5 linked regions of the Coturnix japonica genome follow. The protein of the gene in region 1 interacts with the protein of each later gene in a pairwise test. Links are inferred from orthologs where the notes say so. Each region holds a gene or a part of one and is shown on either strand. Other genes may lie near its edges.

What was found. The genes of interacting proteins can lie anywhere in the genome.
Region 2: the proteins of NIF3L1 (region 1) and DMC1 interact in binary tests that used the Homo sapiens proteins (3 or more experiments, as listed by UniProt). The two-hybrid records come from large-scale screens. The link is inferred for Coturnix japonica from reciprocal best matches to the Homo sapiens genes NIF3L1 and DMC1.
Region 3: the proteins of NIF3L1 (region 1) and SAT1 interact in binary tests that used the Homo sapiens proteins (3 or more experiments, as listed by UniProt). The two-hybrid records come from large-scale screens. The link is inferred for Coturnix japonica from reciprocal best matches to the Homo sapiens genes NIF3L1 and SAT1.
Region 4: the proteins of NIF3L1 (region 1) and CDKN2C interact in binary tests that used the Homo sapiens proteins (3 or more experiments, as listed by UniProt). The two-hybrid records come from large-scale screens. The link is inferred for Coturnix japonica from reciprocal best matches to the Homo sapiens genes NIF3L1 and CDKN2C.
Region 5: the proteins of NIF3L1 (region 1) and NATD1 interact in binary tests that used the Homo sapiens proteins (3 or more experiments, as listed by UniProt). The two-hybrid records come from large-scale screens. The link is inferred for Coturnix japonica from reciprocal best matches to the Homo sapiens genes NIF3L1 and NATD1.

What each region holds. Positions count from the first base shown.
Region 1 is NC_029522.1:9,804,258-9,808,275, reverse strand, and holds the start of NIF3L1 (NIF3-like protein 1), read right to left. Parts: upstream 2,801-4,018; 5' UTR 2,740-2,800; coding exon 2,313-2,739; intron 1,719-2,312; coding exon 1,553-1,718; intron 1,128-1,552; coding exon 1,001-1,127; intron 610-1,000; coding exon 471-609; intron 1-470. Other genes in the region: PPIL3 (peptidyl-prolyl cis-trans isomerase-like 3), read left to right, coding at 2,928-2,930, 3,702-3,776. UniProt on the Homo sapiens protein: May function as a transcriptional corepressor through its interaction with COPS2, negatively regulating the expression of genes involved in neuronal differentiation.
Region 2 is NC_029516.1:46,402,828-46,406,926, reverse strand, and holds the start of DMC1 (meiotic recombination protein DMC1/LIM15 homolog), read right to left. Parts: upstream 2,801-4,099; 5' UTR 2,703-2,800; intron 2,036-2,702; 5' UTR 1,923-2,035; intron 1-1,922. Other genes in the region: CBY1 (protein chibby homolog 1), read left to right, coding at 3,087-3,164, 3,535-3,640, 3,721-3,836. UniProt on the Homo sapiens protein: Participates in meiotic recombination, specifically in homologous strand assimilation, which is required for the resolution of meiotic double-strand breaks.
Region 3 is NC_029516.1:107,414,926-107,418,924, reverse strand, and holds the start of SAT1 (diamine acetyltransferase 1), read right to left. Parts: upstream 2,801-3,999; 5' UTR 2,587-2,800; coding exon 2,521-2,586; intron 2,324-2,520; coding exon 2,104-2,323; intron 961-2,103; coding exon 859-960; intron 750-858; coding exon 709-749; intron 435-708; coding exon 264-434; 3' UTR 1-263. UniProt on the Homo sapiens protein: Enzyme which catalyzes the acetylation of polyamines. Substrate specificity: norspermidine = spermidine >> spermine > N(1)-acetylspermine. This highly regulated enzyme allows a fine attenuation of the intracellular concentration of polyamines.
Region 4 is NC_029523.1:21,374,494-21,378,586, reverse strand, and holds the start of CDKN2C (cyclin-dependent kinase 4 inhibitor C), read right to left. Parts: upstream 2,801-4,093; 5' UTR 2,683-2,800; intron 2,319-2,682; 5' UTR 2,307-2,318; coding exon 2,178-2,306; intron 1-2,177. UniProt on the Homo sapiens protein: Interacts strongly with CDK6, weakly with CDK4. Inhibits cell growth and proliferation with a correlated dependence on endogenous retinoblastoma protein RB.
Region 5 is NC_029529.1:4,555,849-4,559,796, forward strand, and holds the start of NATD1 (protein NATD1), read left to right. Parts: upstream 1-1,148; 5' UTR 1,149-1,353; coding exon 1,354-1,450; intron 1,451-3,456; coding exon 3,457-3,575; intron 3,576-3,948.

The sequences.
Region 1 (4,018 bases):
ACTTTCTCTGTCACTATTTTTCTCTCATCATAACATTGATGGTTGTTTGTTCAGAAGGATACCAGAAAACATCTTTACTATTCTAAGGTGCTGGTAAATTTAAGTCAGTTGCAAAAGGGGTCATATTATGAGGCGGTACATGCTTAAGTCTGGTATCTTGGGGGCAAATATCTTAAGTCATTATATGAATTATGAAAAGTGGTATCTCATTCGGCTCATGCTGTGCCTCCTTCACAGTGACAACTACCATAAAACATTTTCCAGTCAAAAATGATGTTCCAGATGATGTCTTTTTGCCTGACTTTATCACCAACATTCTAAAAAGCTGCCTCTTATCTTTGACAGCGCTTCATACTGTTGGCAAGTAAACCTGTCCAAGGCAGCAGGATTTCACACACCTACACACACACGCTGCTTGTGTTCCTGGAATGCTAGTTGAGATGGGCAGTGTTACTGGTGGGTTTGATTACCGAGTGTCTTGCCTGTTCCCATGGCAAGGCGAACGTGGGGTAATTTGAGGTGGCTTTTGATACGCTCAATTATGTCTGACAAGGAAGCTGGCTCACTCAGTGTGCAGAGACGTCCCATTCCAGTATGTGGAAGAAGAGGCTGAAGAGAAAAGAAATTCAAATTACTGTGAGAAAGCTGACTCCAGAAGTTCACATTACTTTCTGTAGTGTATAAAAACAAGTATACTGAGCGTTAAGGAAAAACAATTCTGAACTTTATGGAAAAAATATGGATGTTATTGAATGCAACATACTAACTACAGTAGTGTTTGGAACCCAGTTTTAGAACTAGTTCAGGCCACATAGTTATTTTTCATTGTTTGGGAAAATGGATGTGGCCTCAAATGGCATCAAATGCCTACAGGCCAGTAGTTCAGAGCACTGACAGGATGCAGAGGAAACCTGCGATGCCAGCAGTTGATGGAATTCAATTTTAGGGCAGTCAGCTCATAGAAGTGACACTCACTGGAAGCAATATATAGTTTTATTACCTTTTGTAGTAAGAGAATCTCAGTCTTGTGATAAAGAAGGCTGTTCTGGGACAATAACGCCACTACCTCCAGCAGTGCTTTCTGAGAGCAGTTCAGACTGACTCGTGTCTGCTCCTCCCTGTCAGCCCTAAGGAAAGATGTGTTTGGTGCTTGTTAAGAGCTTAGGTAAAATTTCAGCATAGTATTCAAAGAGCATAAAGGTGTTCAGAGGCCTGCTGCACAGAAAGGGGAAAAAAAAGACATAACAGTCTAGCTTAGTCTGGAGGAAGCACACATGGGAATTTAACCCACGTGTATTTAATTTGTATTTCTTGTTAATACTCTTCACCACGTTAATCCCTGTGATGCTACATGAAGTCAATAATTACCATTCAGTATAACATGCATTGATCAGAAGGGGATGATTGTCTTTTAATTTTATGGGTCTGTTGCTGAAAAAAAGTAGCAGTGCTGCACAGAGGAATGAAGTGGTTACAAGCAGTAAAACACAGCTCCAGCAACTTAATATTTCAAATGAGAGAAAAGAACATGATGTTAGAGTGAAGCAGATACCTGACAGGGAGAGTGGTGAGACAGAAGATCTCTGGGATGTCTTTGATTTTGGACAGCACTGTGTCTAGTTGCTCTGTAGAGTCTGCACAGAATTCTACCTGGTGAGTGCCCTCAGTCGGGTGGCTTGGAGCGGTTGATGGGTGCAGTGGGACAGAAGTACAGGCACCTGAGGAAACAGAGCAAGGACTGGCTTTAGAGAGCTAGGTGATGTGAAAGCTTAACTGATGCTGATTTAGCATGTATCCAAAAGAGGACAAATTTTGCACTTGAACCCATTTTCCCGGACTGGAACTCAGGACTCTTGTCCTGTGAAGCACAAATAAGTTGACTGACACATATCATTTGTTACTCTTCACAGTGTTCCTGTTTTATCCTAACAGTTGTATCAGGCTGGAAAAAGCACAGCTGTTCTCATTCATAAGCCATGGCAGAAGTCTAAAAGAATTTCAGATACTTTAAGTCATGTAGGAACAATGAGATTATCTATAAATCTATCAATTACAGGCAGTAATTTAAACTCAGCAGCCTAGACTCTTTAACCAAGACAGTAAACACACTGCGCCTGTTCTGCGTCCAGTAGCACACATGCACCTGGAAATGTCCTCTGGTGTTCACAGCTGGTTTGTATCACACCGAGGTGTTACTTGTAAAAGCTGGCTAAAGGAAAGCAGGGAGGCAAGGCTCCCCATGGGATAATGTGATGGATGTGACCAATACTGCTGAGTAACCGGACCCAATGTTGTGTTTTGAGCAGTCTCACCGAGTCCCTTGGACAGCCAGGTGTTGACTCCATGGGGTACAGCATCGTACGCTGTGTGCGGGGAGTAGATCCCGATCCTGTGCTCCAGAGCCCGGACCACCAGCCGCTCCTTCCAGGTCCTCCATGTGACCCGCTTGAGCGGAGCGAAGATGGGAGGGTGATAGGACAGAATGAGGTCCGCGTTCTTCTGCACCGCCTCCTCCATCACCTGCTCGGTCAGGTCGTTGGTGAGGAGCAGGGTGCGCACGGCGTGGGGAGGGCTGGGCTCCACCAGCAGCCCCACGTTGTCCCAGCTCTCAGCCAGGGACGGGGAGGCGAAGTCATTCAGGGCGGCGACGAGCTCCCTGAGGTCCATGAGGGAACGGGAGGGAGGGCGGCCCGCAGCACGGATACAATGGAGCGGGCGGCAGAGCAGGCAGAGCAGCATGCGGAACCGACGGGGAGAGAACGAGGAGGAGGAGGGCAGAAGGGCTGGGGACGGACGAGAGACGGACGCAGTTCCGGTGATGCAGGTTGTGTTCCACTGTCTGCTGGGAGAAGGGGGAGCCGAGTGCTGTGTTTCCTTTGCAGGCAGTTGCTGTACACGCTCCTATCGCAGCCTCTTGATGAGCAGATATGGTGAGAACTGCAGCACTTCGTATGTACTCGTGTGTTTAATGAAACGTGTGGGTGTGTTGGAAAGCAATTGGCTGCTCTGCTTCTCTGCTCTGCTGACAATAGCAGGACACGGGGAAATGGTTTTAAGTTAAACGAGGGAAGATTTAGGTTGGATGTTAGGGGGAAGTTCTTCCTAGGGAGTGGTTAGGCCCGGAACAGGCTGCCAGGGAGGTTGTGGATGCCCCGTCCTTGGAGGTGTTCAAGACCAGGTTGGACGGGCCCTGGGCAACCTGATCTAGTAAGGTGTATGTTTGGTGGCCCTGCAGCAGGGGGGTTGGAACTCACAGGTGATCCTTGAGGTCCCTTCCAACCCGGGTCATTCTGTGATTCTCAGATGGTGTGTTGTGCTCTGATGCTGTGAGGAATTTGCAATGAGAAGTGCAGGTTTCCATTTCGGACTCCTAAAGGATAGAGTGATGTGTGGGAGCTGGTGAGTCATGGCCCGAACCACCGATTGGTCACTTCACTTTACAGGTGAAAAAGAAGATACAGTTGTATCAGTCTGAAATGGGTTCAGACTCTCAGTTCTAAGACAGTCAGTTTTAAGCTTTCATGTGTGAAAGCTTTAAAAATGGTAATTTTTTTTGCCTATAGCCAGATACTGACACAACAGTTATATATGTAACGGGAACTCACTCCTGTTCTTGTTCCTGATAGAGCAGGAAATCAATCTGGTCTATAGCTCTTCGCATTTCATTGCTGGTTTAATTATGTTTTGTGACTGTTTTTCAGGCTGTCACGCTACACACTGATGTAGGAGACATTAAAATTGAGCTGTTTTGTGAGCGAACACCGAAAACATGTGAAGTAAGTCAAATAACAGGAATGGGATTGTGTAGTGTTGAAGCAAAGCAGTAATAGTGGAGACCACAGAACGGGAGATGTGACCGTTCCAGCTAACATTTTCAAATAGTAGAATATTCCATTTTAAGGTGGCATGGAACTTGTTGGACAGTGTATTCTTGTGTGCTGTGTCATAGAGCCTAAAGCTTTGCTGCCTGTTTCTCACCACATAGTATTTACTTGAGAGTTGTTTCTCTCCAATTTCT
Region 2 (4,099 bases), on another chromosome or scaffold:
TTCTAGCTCAGCTTCTGAGCTTGTGATGGCTTTTCTTTTAAACCAGCCACCCTGCAGAACTGGACGTGCTCTTCCTTTGGCCACTTTCCTGCTCTTGGCTTTGCTGCTGCTTCTGCAAGTGGGTCTGTATGTAAACCACAGAAACAAATACATCTTGCTCCATTTGTACTCCATGTTTGCCAGGCTAGTGGCTGGAAGAGATCACGATCAGTTTCTCTTCAAATTTTAAAGCTTGGATAGACATCAACTGCCTCATCACAGTTATTTTCACTTTAGAATAACATTTAGAACTCTCAGAAGGGTTGTAGTTAGCCTTAAAATATGGTGTTTCCTGGATTTTGCTACACATAAGGCCTTAACTTGCAAATGGTTCAGGTAATAATTTGCTTCAGCCTTACAATTGGAACTTCAGTGAATGATTAACGTAATGATTCTAATGTTTAACCCCTTGCTCCTCCTTCCTTGGATTATCACAGTTCCTTTGCCTGCCTTACTGGAAGCATATCTACTCCTTTAACATTCCCTCTGTATCACACAGTAAGCTTTCAAGCTCTTCTCTCCTGGTGTTTTTTGCTGAATTAGTGATTATAAATGATGAGCAAGCACAGGTGCACAGCTCCTGCGGAGTTCAATACATCCCAGTACTTCCCTCTGCAGTCTTTCTGTTTATCTGTCCCTCTTGTCATTTTCCTACTGGATCATTAAGGCAAGCTCTAATGGCCGGACAGTCCAACATGGTGGAATGGGCCAAAGCTTCTGAGAACAAATTTCACCCATGACTTCTGCTCTTAGGTCAAGGAGATGGGCTGCAAACCACATGGTGATCCTCAGATGTTCGGGTGGAAAAACAGCATTCAGTATTTTAACTGTAGCCATGAGGTATTTTTAAGTGAACAGCCACCGAGCACATTCCCACCAGCACAGTGCCAATGCAGCAAAAGCAAACTGGAGATAAGAAGCTGATGAGAATAACAACAATCCTCCATCCCAGGCATTTATGAGGAATGACTGAGTGGCCTTGAAGGGACTTTATCTAAAGTAAAAGCACCTGCAAATTGGTTAATGAGACTGAGCTGCCCTGAGCAGAGGATACTCCTTTAGGAATCACTAGTGTACTGCAGGGTGGATCTGGATGGCAACAAGATCAGCTATGAAAAATTCACTCAACCAACTGCAACATCTTCCATCCTTCTCCATATTATCACCTCTGCAGGGTGAGGTGCAATTTCAGTCATCATGTTTTCAGCATATGTTGACACTGCTTGGAGGTTTGAAACAAATATTAGCAATCTGTATTCCCCCTATCGAGCACAGCACTGTGGATCCAGTAAGTAAGAAGTATTTGCACTAATTGGACACACACAAATGGATATACCTTAATGAATGCCTTAATTTCGTGTGCTCTCTTTAAAGAGGTTCATCCACAAGTGAGACGTAACTGTTTCTAGGGCAAAATACGGCATCCACCAGTGCTGGCAGCACCACACTGCAGTCATGTGAGAAGAATAAAAGCAATTCTCTCCTGCTGAAATCGCTAGAGAAATTGCAGGGTGGTGGAAAGCAATTACAGGCTTGGAAAATAGCTACGATACCAGGGTAATGTTGTTATCTAGTAAAAAAAAAAGCAGCAAAAACTGATTGAATTATTCTATAAAATGCCCAACCGTTGCTGAAGTCAGCTGTCTCTAACAAAAGCAAGTTTGGAGATAGCTTCCCTCAACATTCATTGGCTCCATAAATGACTTTAACAAGATTCATATTGCACGACACGCTCATATCCCCAGTTTCGACATGTAGGTCTGGGAAGACCTGTCTAGGTGTCTGAATAGCAAATTAGGAAGTCGGTTTGGAAACTGCTCCTTTTCTTTGTTTCTTTATAGTCTTGACCATTGTTCCTGGCACGCTGTCCAACACTGGCTCACCTGTCTCAACTCAGATTACAGGCTTTCGCGTGTCCTGCGCAAGGCTTGGCACCATTCCTGACAACAAGTGACCACTGCCAGTTGTTTGACTTTGGAACTGGAGGAGTACATTGCTGCAGCAGATAATGAATGAACAAACTGTGGATACGGCCTGCTGACCTATGGCAACACTTTGGCTTTCTCCTGCACCGACAAGATTTAAACTTGCAGACTGAGTTTCACTGGCTTTTATACCCCAAATGAATCGAATTACTTAGATGTGTGAGCTGGGAACCAGCTTCTACACACAACACCCTTCCCTCCCAGTAATGTTAAATATGAGATTCTTCAAATCATTCCTGCGCTTGGTATGTCAGTCGCATTCAAGTATTGTTTTGTGTACGTCATATCAGTGATCATTGCTTTACACTACATTATTCTCGCAGGCAGTGCTTATTAGTCTTCTCCCAACAACTCATCATCTTGAAGGGATGTGGGGAAGGGAGGATTCCTACAAGGATCAATTAACAGATGCCTGCACATCACTGTGGGATTCTCTATTCATAAAGCAACTATTGGTTTCTGGCTGTCCCTACGAAGATGCAGTTCTGCATCTCACTTTGTTTTCTAGCTGTTTTCTCTGCCTATCTCTACTCGCTGCCGCGAGGGCCTCCTGGTGGTGCAACCTGTGCCCGTCAGGCAGGCTCCAAACAGCAGCCCCTTATGGTAAGAATGTACAAGCTAACTTGGCTTCCCCCCCCACACACAGTTTTCTGTCTTTCCAGACCAATTTCTTCTCACCACTCCCTGCTGAACATGGGAAATCCCTGCCAGCCCCTGCATGAGACACTTTGGTTTTCTGATATTAACGCTGTGCCAGGCTCGTAGCCCCGCCGCCAGGCCCCATTCCCCGACGTCGCCATGGAGATGCGCCGGCCGCAAACCGCCGCCGGGCCACGCGGCGGACCCACGGCGCAGAGCGGCGGGGGCTGCCGGGGCGCAGGCGCCGCTCGTGGAAGCGGTGCTGCCCCCCCGGAACGAGGCAGATCCCGACGGAGCGGGACGGGAGCGGCGGGATCCTCATCCGCTCTTCCCTCGCTAACAGGGCGGCTCGGTGACGCGGGCCCTGCGGGTGGTGCTCGTTGCCCCTACCGTTGTTGGGACGTGTCCCGGCAATAGGGAGCGATGCCTCTCTTCGGGAACACCTTCAGCCCTAAGAAGACCCCTCCGCGGAAGGCCGCCTCGCTGTCCAACCTGCACTTGGTGAGTGTTGGGGCTGCGGTTCCTCACAGTCTTTAGTGGCACCCCCAGTGTGTTGGCTGGATGTTGGGGTGGGAGAAAGTGTGGGCATGGTGATGAGCAACTAGGGAACAAGTGATAGGATGAGAGGTGATGGCCTCAAGTTGTGCCGGGGGAGGTTCAGGTTGGATGTTAGGAAGGATTTCTTCTCTATACGAGCGGTGCTGCAGTGGCACAGGCTGCCCAGGGAGCTGGTGGGGTCACCATCGTTGGAGGTGTTCCAGAGCCGTGTGGATGTGGCACTGAGGGACGTGGTTTAATGGTGACGGGTTGAAGGCTGACTGGGTGATCTTAAGAGCTCTGTTCCAACTTCAACAGTTCCTTCTCTCTGCAGCTGGACAGATCCACCCGCGAGGTCGAGCTGGGCCTGGAATATGGCACCCCCACCATGAACCTCACCGGGCAGAGCCTCAAGTTTGAGAATGGCCAGTGGGTGGCAGGTAGTGCCGTGTGGTGTGGGGGGCCTGCAGGGGTCACGGTTGGCTGATGTCCGACTGTGTGCTCTCTTTATTTCCTCCAGAAGTCGGAAGCTTCACGGGAGATCGCAGGGAAATGCAGCGCTTGCGCAAACGCAACCAGCAGCTGGAGGAGGAAAACAATCTCCTTCGTCTGAAGGTGGATATTCTGCTGGACATGGTGAGTACTGAACTTCTGTTCTGTGTGTGAGGCTGCGGGTGACAGAATTCCCCAGCACTAACCACTAACTGGGCTGTCTTGGTGAAGTGCGAAGCCTCAGCTTCCCTCTCACTGAAATGCAGATGCTTTCTCACATTGGAGCTGGCTGTGGCTGTAAATCTCGGCGACATCTCGAGAAAGATTGTGCCAGAAAACACGTTTCTGTAATGGGAAAAGCTTTTGGTAGGGCAGTGCTTGAAGGAGCTCATCGATGTTGCTCTGTG
Region 3 (3,999 bases), on another chromosome or scaffold:
ACACATTTGAATGCCACTTACAAGAATGAAGTTTCCATATACAAAGATTACAAGTTCACACTGGTAAAAGGATGGATACAAGCACGTATTCAACTTGAGATGCCTCCGCTCCAGCTGACGGTACCAATTACTCTATGACCATGGTTGCACAGTACTACCATCCACTCTATTTTATTCCACTACCAACACAGAAAGCAAGAAGGGGTTTATTCAGAGAGCGCGTATATTCATTGCAAGAGTTTAGTTGCTGGAATCTTCTCTCACTACTCTTCCGTTGCCATCTTCAACAGATACTCCTTGTCGATTTTGAAGAGCCTCCAGCCCTCTTCAGTGGACAGATCGGAGGCGCCCCTTCTCTTGTAGAACCTGATGGAGGGCTCGTTCCACTCTGCCACTAGGAAGTGCATGCTGCTGCAGCGGCACTTGACAGCAACCTGCAGGAACGCAAACACAGGTCAGCGGGTCTGATGCTAAGCAGCACCAGCTGCAGATTGCTCCGAGTCATGATGTTCACTTTATCTCTCAGTTCAGCCTCTAGGCAGTGGTTAAGGCTGCCTGGAGCTCTGTCATTTCTCTTTTAGTAACTCATCAATGCTAATCCTGTGTAGTGCTCAAGGAGAAACTTGATTGCAGCTAACAGAAAATCAAGACTACTGCTCCATCATGCATCCCCAGTGCTGTTCATTTAGACTTAACACTCAGACATACCTGACTCAGATTCTTCAGGATTTCTGATCCAATGCCAAGTCCTGAGGGAAAAAGCAACAAAAATATACAGTTTAAGGAAAAAACAGCAAGACAATTTCAATTTTAAAGTAGCTCTGTAGGAAGCAGCTTGTCTGATTCCATAGTACTTACCTCTGTATTCAGCCATCACATAGAAATCTTCAAGATACAACAGCTTCCCAATCCATGGATCGTAAGTGAAGTAATACATAGCAAAGCCCACGATGCTGTGCCCTGAAACAAAGCACGCAGCTTTAGCTGGTCTGAAGCTACCGATTTGCATTAAGTCTTACATGCATATTTAAATATACAGATAGTGACATGCAGCCGTTTGCTATAAGGTTAGAATAAGAATGAAGCACAACTGGAAACGTCAGTATAAACTGGCATCAACCTAACGGAAGACTGCCCTCTTCACACCCTGAAACGCTCAAGAGCAATGTTATAATAAGCAGTGAACAAAAAGGCTTTATTTCTACTAATACATACCCTACTGATTTATCAGCACTTCCCTTCTGGAATACAAAGCAATACAGAGCAGTCCAAGGCCTAGGTAACCGCCCCAACACTGCCTTGCTTGGCAACCCCGACAAGCTACAAAGCTCTACAGAAGGTTCATCTTCCAATGTATTGCTCAGTAGAGAGAAGACATGCTCAAAGACAACTGGTACATTCTGATACATTTCTGATACGCTGACATATGTGCACACTGATTGTATTGTGCTGTTTTGAATTCAGCACCAACAAATCAAGCTACATAGAACTGCAGCTTCAAGTACAGCTGCACCACTCAACAGGGAAGAGAAACCAGCTCTTCCTGCAATAACATATTCAAATCTAAGCCTTGAAAATCGCAATGTCTACCATCATACTCTGCACATACTCTAAAGGAAGCGTGCAATAACTTCTGATCTACTGTGTCTTTGGTAAAGGTTTGGGAATAGCACTTGTCCCTGTAGACCTTACCTCATATTATGATCATCTACTTTATTGTGTAACGGATCTTTTAGTTACCTCCCCGCCCATCCATGTACACAGAAGGGCCATGTACATGGCGAAGCTAGAGACTGTAACCTGAAGATTGGGGACAAATTAAAGAAAACATGTGATTCAACAGGATTACATAAGGTTAAGTTAGGGTCAAACAAGAAAAGCCATTTAATTACTTGGCATTAAGTACATTGTTACACCTGATCATCCAGCATCTCCGAGGTTAGCAACTACTTCACAACAGCACGGCTCTACGTTATCGCCATTTTTAAGCTTAGCCTGTTCCTCCTGCCCCGACTCCTCGCTGGAACCTCAAGTCAGGTAGGTCACAATAAGCACAAGGCATCTCTTATGTAAAAAGAACAAACGAGCGGCGCAATATCTCACCTTCAGCCGACCACTGCTCTTTGGGCACCTCCGCAACGAGGCAGTGGTAGAACGGGTGCTCACCGAATCCATCCTCCAGCAGCTCTACGAGAGCAAAACAAACGGGACCCTTCAGATGCGGGCGGCGGCACCGAGCCGCAGCAGGGCGGGCAGTCGCTGCAAGCCTACCTTTCTCGGTTAGCACCACTTGATCCTCCATGTCCTCGTACTTGGCTAGTTCCTGGAACGGCACAACACGTCAGCCGCCTCCCCCGGGCCCATCACCCCTCCTCCCTCCTTCCCTCCCCCCCTCGGCCTTGCGCAACGCCCTGTTTGCGCCTTCCCCGGGTTCGGCCGCCTTTCCTTCTCTCCCCCCCCCCCATCCCATCCCACCCCCCCCCACCCCATCCCTCTTGGCCTAACGTTGGCGTCCCGCACCTTGATCAGTCGCAGCAGGTCTGAGCAGTCCTCGGGACGCGCGGCGCGGATACTGAACGAAGCCATTTTCGACGGCGTTTCCCCCTGCGGCCCCCTCGGCTGACGAGTCCCCGGTGTGTGAACAGGAGGAGCAGCTGTTTCTTCATTCGTGTCCCGGGCGCGGCGGCCACCTGCGGTCAGTCAGGCTGCGAGCATGTCCCGGCGGCGCTCGGCAAGCAGACGGCTCCCACCCGACAACAACCCCGATCCAACGCCAACTGCGCCGGCTGCGCATCCTCCGCCTCCATTTATAGATGACCGCGCTCCGCCTCTCCCCGCACGACAGCCAATGGGAGTGCCCGCAGCTCTCGCCCCCAGCCAATGGTAGCGCCCCTCCCCGGAATCTTGCCTCGCCCTGCCAGCAACAGCTGCCGCCGGTGTCTCGTGACTGCCGGCCGCCATGGCGCCCTCTGGCGGAGGCGGGAGGCGCAGCAGGACAGGCCCCCCCTGCTGTATGTGAGGCTCGGGGCGGCTGTGCCACTCACACCGTTTTCCAGTGCACACCATGGCTTAAGAAGTTCACAGAATTGTAGGGGTTGGAAGGGACCTCTAGAGATCATTGAGTCCAACCCCCCTGCCAGAGCAGGCTCCCTACACCACGTCACACAGGTAGGCGTCCAGGCGGGTCTTGAATATCTCCAGAAAAGGAGACTCCACCACCTCCATGGGCAGCCTGTTCCAGTGCTCCGTCACCCTCACTGTAAACAAATTATTTCTCACATTCATGTGGAACTTCCTATGCTGAAGTTTCACCTTCATTTAGACACAGGGACCAGTATGGAACATGATACTGCCCAAGGATTGGATGGAGAAGTGTATTCTGGTGTCCAGGTTTGGTCAAGAAAACCATCTGGCACATGCTTAGAGCCCTGGAAGGCTCTAACATCTTAAATTCACCCTAAATCCAGTTTAGCCTCCATTAGAACAAATATGGAGCTGTCCAGAGAACAGATGCATATAAAAACCAGGAAGTGGCAGTCACAAAATCACATAATCACAGAACTGTAGGGGTTGGAAGGGAACTCTGGAGATCATGGAGTCCAACCCTATAGCAGGTTGCACAGGAAGGCATCCACAGGGGCCTTGAATCTCTCCAGAGAACAAACTCCACAGGCTCTCTGAGCAGCCAGTCCCAGGGCTCTATCATCCTCACAGTGACGAAGTGAACTTCTTTACAGTGAGGGTGACGGAGCACTGGAACAGGCTGCCCAGGGAGGTGGTGGAGTCTCCTTCTCTGGAGATATTCAAGACCCGCCTGGATGCCTACCTGTGTGACGTGGTGTAGGGAGCCTGCTTTGGCAGGGGGGTTGGACTCGATGATCTCTAGAGGTCCCTTCCAACCCCTACAATTCTGTGATTCTGTGATCTTCCTCATGTTAGTACAGAACTCTTTGAGTTCCAGCTGCATTGCCCCTTGTTCTATTGCTGCTCACTACCAAA
Region 4 (4,093 bases), on another chromosome or scaffold:
TTTCACTTCTGAGCAGGAGTGGGAGGGAAAATAGGAGCAGTGCGAGCCCTCCTTTGTGTTGGGAAAATTATTGGGATGTGTTAGGGAGTATTTTTGGAGGGCTCGGGGTGCATTTTTGGTGGATTTATAAAGTGTATTTGGTCGAAGTGGGAGTTAATAGGCTCGAGGAAGGCAGGCTCGGGGAGTGAGGCTGCATTGCCACATGCGGGGGGGGGAGAAAATGCTCACAGAGGGGATGGAGCCGGGGGGGGGGATGCACAGCTCCTTTCTGCCCGGCTCCTCTAAGGAGCGGCAACGGCCCGTAGCCGTGGCAGGGAGGATCGGGGCAGGACGGGCAGTGAGGCCTGCAGAGAGCACCTCGTCTGAAACTAAAAGCAGAGAGGAAGAGAAGCCGAGCAGCTGCTGAATTAAACAAAAATTCAGTGGCATATATATATATCCACAAATACAAATATGTAGGCAGCCTCTCCCTTTTTACTGAGAGGTTATGGAGAAAATATTGAGAAATTATTGAGGGATTATTTAAAGACTGTCTACATTTGGGAGGCTGTATTGACAGAGCTGTTCGAGGGCAGCCAGGCACCCGCAGCCCATTTCGGGTTGTACAGTACAGAATGTGGCTCCCCGAACCCTCCTGCCCTGCCCCGGGCCGTGCCCCTCTGCTCCATGAGAACCGACGGTCACAGCTCAGAGCGGGGCCGGGGAGCGGCCGCTGTGCCCCTGTGCGAAGCGGCCCCAAGGAGGGCACGGGCAGCTCTCAGTAAATACATCTCCGCTCTGCAAATCGCTTTGCAGCCCTCGTCCCGAGGATGAAGCCCCGAGCTGCAAGTTTCTTTCTCCCTGGCAGCCTTATTGCTCTAAGTGTCCGATTTCCATCCTTTCGATCTCTTAAAAGTTGCCCCGAGTGCCCTCACGGTCACCCGGCACCCGATTGGGGTGAGAACAGCCTCCAAAAAAAAAAAATCCTATATCCCTCGGGCCCCGGTGATGTGCCCCCCCAGGGCCAGCCCTGCTTTACAGCGAGAGGTGCTCGATTTCGAAATGCAACACATTCGATGTCAAGTCAGGGAAGGGGTGGGGGGGGGGGAAGAAAGAAAGAAAGAAAGATTAAAAAAAAAAAAAAAGAAGAAAAAAAAGCTGTAAATATCTCGAGTTCATCCGCAAGAATTCTGCTTTTTACAGAGTACATTTCAGAAATGATTCTCGTGGTTTCGGGGAGGGGGGGAGAAGAGTTAACAAACGATTTTTCTAACGTGTGAAATTAATAAGCCCCGGAGCTCTGCTTCCACGTCCCTCTGTTTCACCTTCGGCACTAATAACCACACACTTTCTCCTCATCTACAGACCGTTCCTCTCGCTATCCCGTACGGATTCGACCCTTTTCGCTATCATTATCTGATATTAGAAAAAGCAAAATCTTTCGTCAGCCGCAACAGTTCGCAGTTGGATGAGCTCCAAATGCTGCCTGCGCGGCTCCACGCTGAAAAAAAGAGGACACGGCACCCCACGGACGGTCAGAAATGAAAGAGCCGAACCCCCGCCCCGCCACCGAGCCGAGAAAGGGCAATTTTCATCCCTAACGATGAATGGAGAGGCGGTGGCGGGGCTCGGGGTGCCGCTCCGCGGCTCTGAGAGCGCATCGAAGGTGCTCGGTGCCGTGCAGCCTCCGAACGAGAAAGGTCATTCGGCACAAACAGCGCATAAAGGAAAAGTACCATCGCGGCAGAGCCCAGCACCCGGACAAGGCACATTTTAAGAGGGAAAGTTGGGGGGGGAAGGAGGGGGGGATGGGGGAAAAGAACCGAGAACTGCAGCTCCAAACCGTAGCACATCGGTGTTTACAGACCTGCCCTGAGCCCTGCTCACCTACGGTGATTTCTTTTCGTCTCCTCTACTTCATTCTCTGCCTCCTCCCCTCCGAGTTCCCAAATCGCACCCAACTCTCTGCCCGTCCGCCACCGAGGGTGACCCCCGGCTGAACCGCTGCTTCTGAGCACTTTTATTTCAAGTACGTCATTTTAGGGAGCTGGAGCCACTAAAGTTATAAAATATGGCATCCAACTCGTTGAAAAAGCCCTCGCATTTCTCCAGCAGCCTGCTCAAAGCGTTGTCTTTTTGGCAACCCGGGTCACGTAGGTAGCAGTGATGAAATATTTTCTCCCTCTCTGGATACCAACCTGCAGCGCAGTCCTCCCAAATCCATTTTGTGCATTGACGTTTACATTCTTTTGCAACAAATTAGTGAGTTGCACTAGGTCCCCCTTGGCAGCCGCGGACGCCAGCTCGTTCCCAGAAGGCTCGGCCATTCTTTAGGGTGACTGACGATCAGAAAAAGATGAGATTTTTTTTTTTTTTAACCAGGCATGGCATCGGAGACTGACAGAAGGATTGGGATGGTTAATCTTCTGGAGTAGACCTTGTAGTAAATACTCGTAAAAAAACTCCTTGCCAAGAGCCCGCCCCTAACTCACACGTGATTATTCAGCAAAACTGCAGCTCCGCTTGAAAGAAGATTTCTTTGCTTCCACATAGAGAGGAACTCATATTAAAGCCTTTGGCCGGTTGCGAGGGGAAATACATTAAGAGCTATGCGATATATGATATATGTTACACGTAACATATATACACGCACGTATACCGGAGACTCACTCAGACCTGAGATCCTGGAAGAGGACAACCCACCCTGCTCACAGTCGGCATCTGAGCCTCAGCAGCCGCAGCTCCGAGGCAAAGTCTTCACTATCGGGGTCCGCCCGCCGCATGCCCCGCTCCGGGGCCGGGCAGAAGGCGCGGAGCGAGACGCTCCCGGATCTCGCCGCCTCCCTCGTCGCTCTCTGTGCCGGCGGCGGCCTCACTCCCGCGGCCTCTCCGCGGCTCCGCGATCCGGGCCGGCGGGAGCCGCCCTGGGCGGCGGCGGCCGGGGTGCATCCAGCGGGGCTGCGGGGCGGCGGGCGGCGGCCCGGCGGGGCGGGCTCATGCCGTGTCCGCGGGGAGCCGAGGTCCCCGCCGCTCTCGGTCGCCTCCGCCGCCGCCTCCTCTGCGGGTCGCCGTCCGGGCCGGGGGACGGAGGGACGGAGGAACGGCGGGTGCAGCGGGCGGTGCGTGGTGCCGCCGCCGATGACAGCCGCGCTGCGCCGCTCCGTCCGCTCCGCTGCTCGCTGCACTTGCCGCTCCGCTGATCGCTGCCTCCTCCCGCGGCTCCGCGCTCTCCCTTTTTTAAGCGCAAACAATCGCTACTTCTGTTTCCTACGGACACGAAGCCGGTTTCTCTCTCTCTCTCTCTCCTCTCTCTCTTCCAACCCCCCCCCCGCTCCTTTTTTTTTTTTTTTTTTTTTTTTAACCTCATCAGCTTTTTTTGAAAAGAAAAAAAATTTGAGCGCTTTTTGAGTTGAAACACCCGCCCACATTTTAACGGCAGAGATTTAAGGAGGCGCGGCGGAGTTGCGGCTCTGCCGGGCAGGAAGGCCTGCAGCGCCCGCCCCGCCCCTACGGCCCCGCAGCGGCCATGAGCGGGGCCGGGAGGGAGAGAGGGAGGGGAAAGGGAAAAGGAGGGGGGGGGAAAGGTGTTTTTTCGGCTGGTTTTGCTCCGTAGCCGCCGTGCCCCGCGGCTGAGGGCACCTGCCCCGGGAAGCGGCCCCGGGGCCGGGGAGGAGCTGTCCCGGAGCTGCGGGAGGCGATGATCCGAGGCGGCTTTTGGACTTTCCGCCGTTCGCGATGGATTCGAAAGTGCCATTTTGAGGGGAACGGGCACCCAGAAGACGCGAGGGGTTGTTCCATCTTCCCGCACAAGGGCCGCGGAGCAGCGGGAGGCGTGGAGATGGCAGCGCCCTTCTGACAGCGGCACTCCGTTGCCTTGCGCCGCTCTCGTTGCTTTATGTTCCAGGAAGCCTCAGGGGGGCTGAATCGCACCCAAAAGAGCCCCGAGGGAGGTAAGGAACAACGTGGCTGCCCGGGGTCTGTCAGCACCCCGCCCGGCTCTGCTCACGGCGGAGGCGTTGGCACCGGGAACTGCTCGGAGACGTTCGGCACCGGGAGCTGCGGGAGCTGCGGGAGCACGGCGGGGGGCAGTCCGCACCACGGCCCGGGACGCACA
Region 5 (3,948 bases), on another chromosome or scaffold:
CACTGATTGGAGCTTTACCTATATGAGCACATCACCACAATGCCAAGGGAACTTGGACCGCCTTGTGTCCCAGTTACCTCCGTGTAAGTGCAGGAAATGGGAGCCTGCTGGGAACAGCCTGGGCAGGTGCAAGCAGCACCCTCTGCCTTGAAGGAGAAGCCGCAGCTCGTAACACCCTCCATCCATTCGTTTGCAGGATGTTAAACAACAGCCGTGTGCTGCTTTGCACGCTCCAGCATCAGCTGTGGGGCAGCCAGGACCCTGCACAGCCCCTTTGGAAAATCCCCCACCTATCTGCCCCTGCGTGCATCAGCATCACCTGCCCGGGCACGTGCTGGGCAGGGCTGATGCAAGGGGGGACCCGCAGCAGCCACGTCACCCTGCACAGGGATAAGTGATGCCATCGCATTCCCATGGGATCCCATTGCTGGGGTCTCCCGTGAACCAGCCCTGACCTATCCTGCAATCTGCTCTATGGGGAGCAATCTTTGCAGGCAGAAATTTCCCAGCGTGATCCAAACCGCTACGAAGGAGGGGTGGGAGCAAACGCAGCCCTCGTGCAGTCTCGTGCAGTTCCGATCCGGGCTGTGCAGAGCTTCGTTTGATCGGTTTGAGAGCTGGAAAATGTGTCTGAAATAAGGACAGGAAACATGGGTCCGGGGTTGCACCTGTGTCCGGGCTGGACCCAGTGACAGCGCTAACATCCAGCAGCTGTAAATTGAAGCTAGAAAGGCTCAAATGGGAAATAAATCACTGATGTTAATAGTGCGAGTAATTACTTTAATGAGAGACGTAGCAGATTCACCGCCTTTCAGCTCAGCCTGGGAGCATTCCCAAAGCCCACGTTCGGGGCTGCGGGCTGTGACACACTGCTCGTATCACAGAGCTGGGAACGGGGTGGGCCCGGCTTTGTGCCAGCAGGGCAGCAATCCTGGAGTTTGGGCTCAACGAGCGGGTTTAGGGCGAGTAATGGCACACGCTGCAATGGGCAGCACTACCGGGATACAGCAGTACCGGGATACAGCACTACCGGGACGCAGCACTACCGGGACCCAGCGCTGTCCGTGACCGCACCGCCCACGCGGGGGCGCCGGGGCTCGTCGTGGAGCAGAATGTGTTACGGCTCCTTTAAGAGCCGGGCAAATGTATCAAAACAAAACGGCAGCGCTGCCATAGGCTGCGGGGCGGGCACGTGGCGCACAGCTGGCTTCCTGCGGCCAAGCACCGGTGGCAGCTCCCGGTGCCGCCGCTACGGCCCGACCCGACCCGACCCGACCCGACCCGACCCGGCTCGTTCCCGGTCCCCGCAGCTCCCCGCTCCTACACGGCACAGTCTCACTGCCCGGCCCGGCCATGGCGCACTCGGCGCCGCTCGGCCTTATGGAGCAGGGCTGCCCCATCCAGGTGGAGCACGATCGGAAGCGGCGGCAGTTCACCGTGCGGCTGAACGGTAACGGAGCAGAGCCCCCGATCCGCCCCCTACCCCCCGATCCCCCCCCTCTGTCCTCAGCCCCCTCCTCCTGTGCATTTAATCGGTGCCTCTCGGCGTCCCCGTGAAACCAGCCCCTCTCCGGTTCACCTGGTAAACACCAGCAGCCGGATGGGGTTATGTTGGATTCTTTTTCCTCCTCCTCTTTTTTTTTTTTCTCTTTTAATTCCAACCGCTAATTACAAAGTGCAGCGGGAGGTGATGTACGTGGAGGTGAAGCTCCCTCCGCCCACTCGCTGCCGGCATTGGGATCAAATGAGGGCACCCTGTGCTGTGGGTGCATTGGTGGGACAAAAGGGGTCATTGGGGAAAGGAAATCCTTCATTCAGAGGGCGGTGAGGGGCTGGCGCTGCTCCCAGAGCACTGAGTGCCCAGCCCTGGAGGTGCCCGAGGCCGTGGGTGGGCCCTGGGCAGCCTGGTGGGAGGAAACCAGCTGGTTTGCAGTATCTTCTCTGCTTTCTTTGTATGCGAGGAAATGAATGGTGCTTGGTGTTTGCCCCTTCATCCCTCTCCTCTGAGCCTACAGTGCTATGTGTGCTTCCTAATGCCTGCATCAAATCAGCACGTTGCTTTTCTCTTTGTGTCCTGAAAGCAGAAGCATTGAGAGCTGGAAGTAAAGCAGCTCATGGCAGGGACTGACCACGCTTTGTTCTCCTCTTGGAGAGGAGAGCAGAGAGAAGCTTGATGGGATGAGAGGGAATGGCCTCAGGTTGTGCCGGGGGACATTCAGGTTGGATAGCAGGAACTATTTATTCTAAGGAGTGACACTGCTGCCCAGGGAGTGGTGGGGTCACCATCCTTGGAGGTGTTTGAGCAGGGTGTGGATGTGGTTGGTGAGCAGTACTGGTGGTGGGTTGGACTAGATGATGATCTTGGTGGTCCTTTGTGACCTTAATGATTCTGTGATCCTTTGATTTGTCCTCAGTTAAGCTGTAGGTAACAGCACAGACAGCCAGCACAGCCCTTTTTGCTGGAGAGCATCACTGAGTGTTTCCATAGGAAAACCAGAGCAGGCTGTGCTGCTGTGCTGGGACTAAAGGGATGAGGTTGTGCTGTGCACCGAGATGGCTCTGTGCTCTCCCAGTGCTACAGTCACTAGATCTCCTCAGCAGGAAACTGCAGCTGAGCTGGGCCCCCTGTGCTGTTCCAGAGTGGGGCCGTCGGGGACAGCTGTGCCATCTCCACTCAGCACTGCATGTGGTGCATCTCTCTGTAGGAACGTGCCAGGCTCTCTGCAGGGCTGTCTGTGTGCTTGGGGACGGCTCCTTGGGATTGCTGGCTTTGCTCTGTCCCCTTTTTCCCTGCCAAGGTTTGCAGCTATGGAGTGATGTGTAGGATTGCATCTGGGCTGGGCAGTGGGGAAGACGTTCCTCCCCGTCCCCCATCCCAGGACAGAGAGGGCATAAGGAGGTGTTTTCAGCTGCAATGCAGCAAAAGTGAATGGATGGCGCTCAGCTGAAGCATGCAGTAAGTGCAGGTGAAGGTGGGGCCCTTCATCCTCCAGTAAGCACTGGGGGGAAAGGAAAAGTTTCTGTTATTTTAACTGAGTTTGTCTCATTGATGGGAAGCTTGTGTTTTGGAAATTCTTTAAGTATAGAAACTCTCCAGAAATGAGTTGAAGCTGAGTTTGGGCTCTGCAGATGGAGATGGAGGGGTATTATTAGCTCTCCTCTGATTTACATGTGTGCTGAAACTTCTTTCTTCCTCTATCTAAATTGCTGTGAGAATGTCAGGGTTTTGCAACAGGAAATGTGTGTGTCAGTGTGCACACACGCACCCCTGCACACCTGTGTGCACTTATGGGATACCCAGCTGTTCCAGTATCTCCCTCCAGTCCTTCCAAGGTCCCAAATGTAACACCAGGCCTGGAAGCTTTGTCCCGTGTTCTGGCCCATGCTGTAGGGGGAAAAGAGCTGGTGCTCCCTGTTCAGCTTTGGCAGTTCCTCAGCACTCTCTCCCATCCCCAGGTTGCCATGACCGAGCGGTGCTGCTCTATGAATACGTGGGGAAGCGCATTGTGGACCTGCAGCACACCGAGGTGCCGGATGCCTATCGGGGAAGAGGGATAGCCAAACACCTTGCAAAGGTACAGCCACTGCCCTGGGGGGAGCTGCTTCTATCCGATGGAGGGGAGAGGTGTGGGGAGGTTAAGTGAGGCCCCAGAGGAAAAGGAGAGCATTTTGGGGTGGCTCAGCACTCAAAAGGGAGGTGTTAAGCCTTCCCCCTGGGGGCTGGAGGGCTGGATGGAAACCTGTGGTCAGATGTTCCTATTTCTGGCCGCGAGGGGGGCTGGGTGAGTTCCAGCACGTCCTCTGCTCGATCCTCCTCCACTGCCAGCAGCCCTCGCTCCCACCCTGCTTCCCCTTGGGGCTGCTCCAGCATCTCCCCCCAGGAGCTGGGCTCCCTCGCCCCAAAGCTTCAAGGCCCACACGTGCCCTTTCTCTTCCTTGGGCCTCACT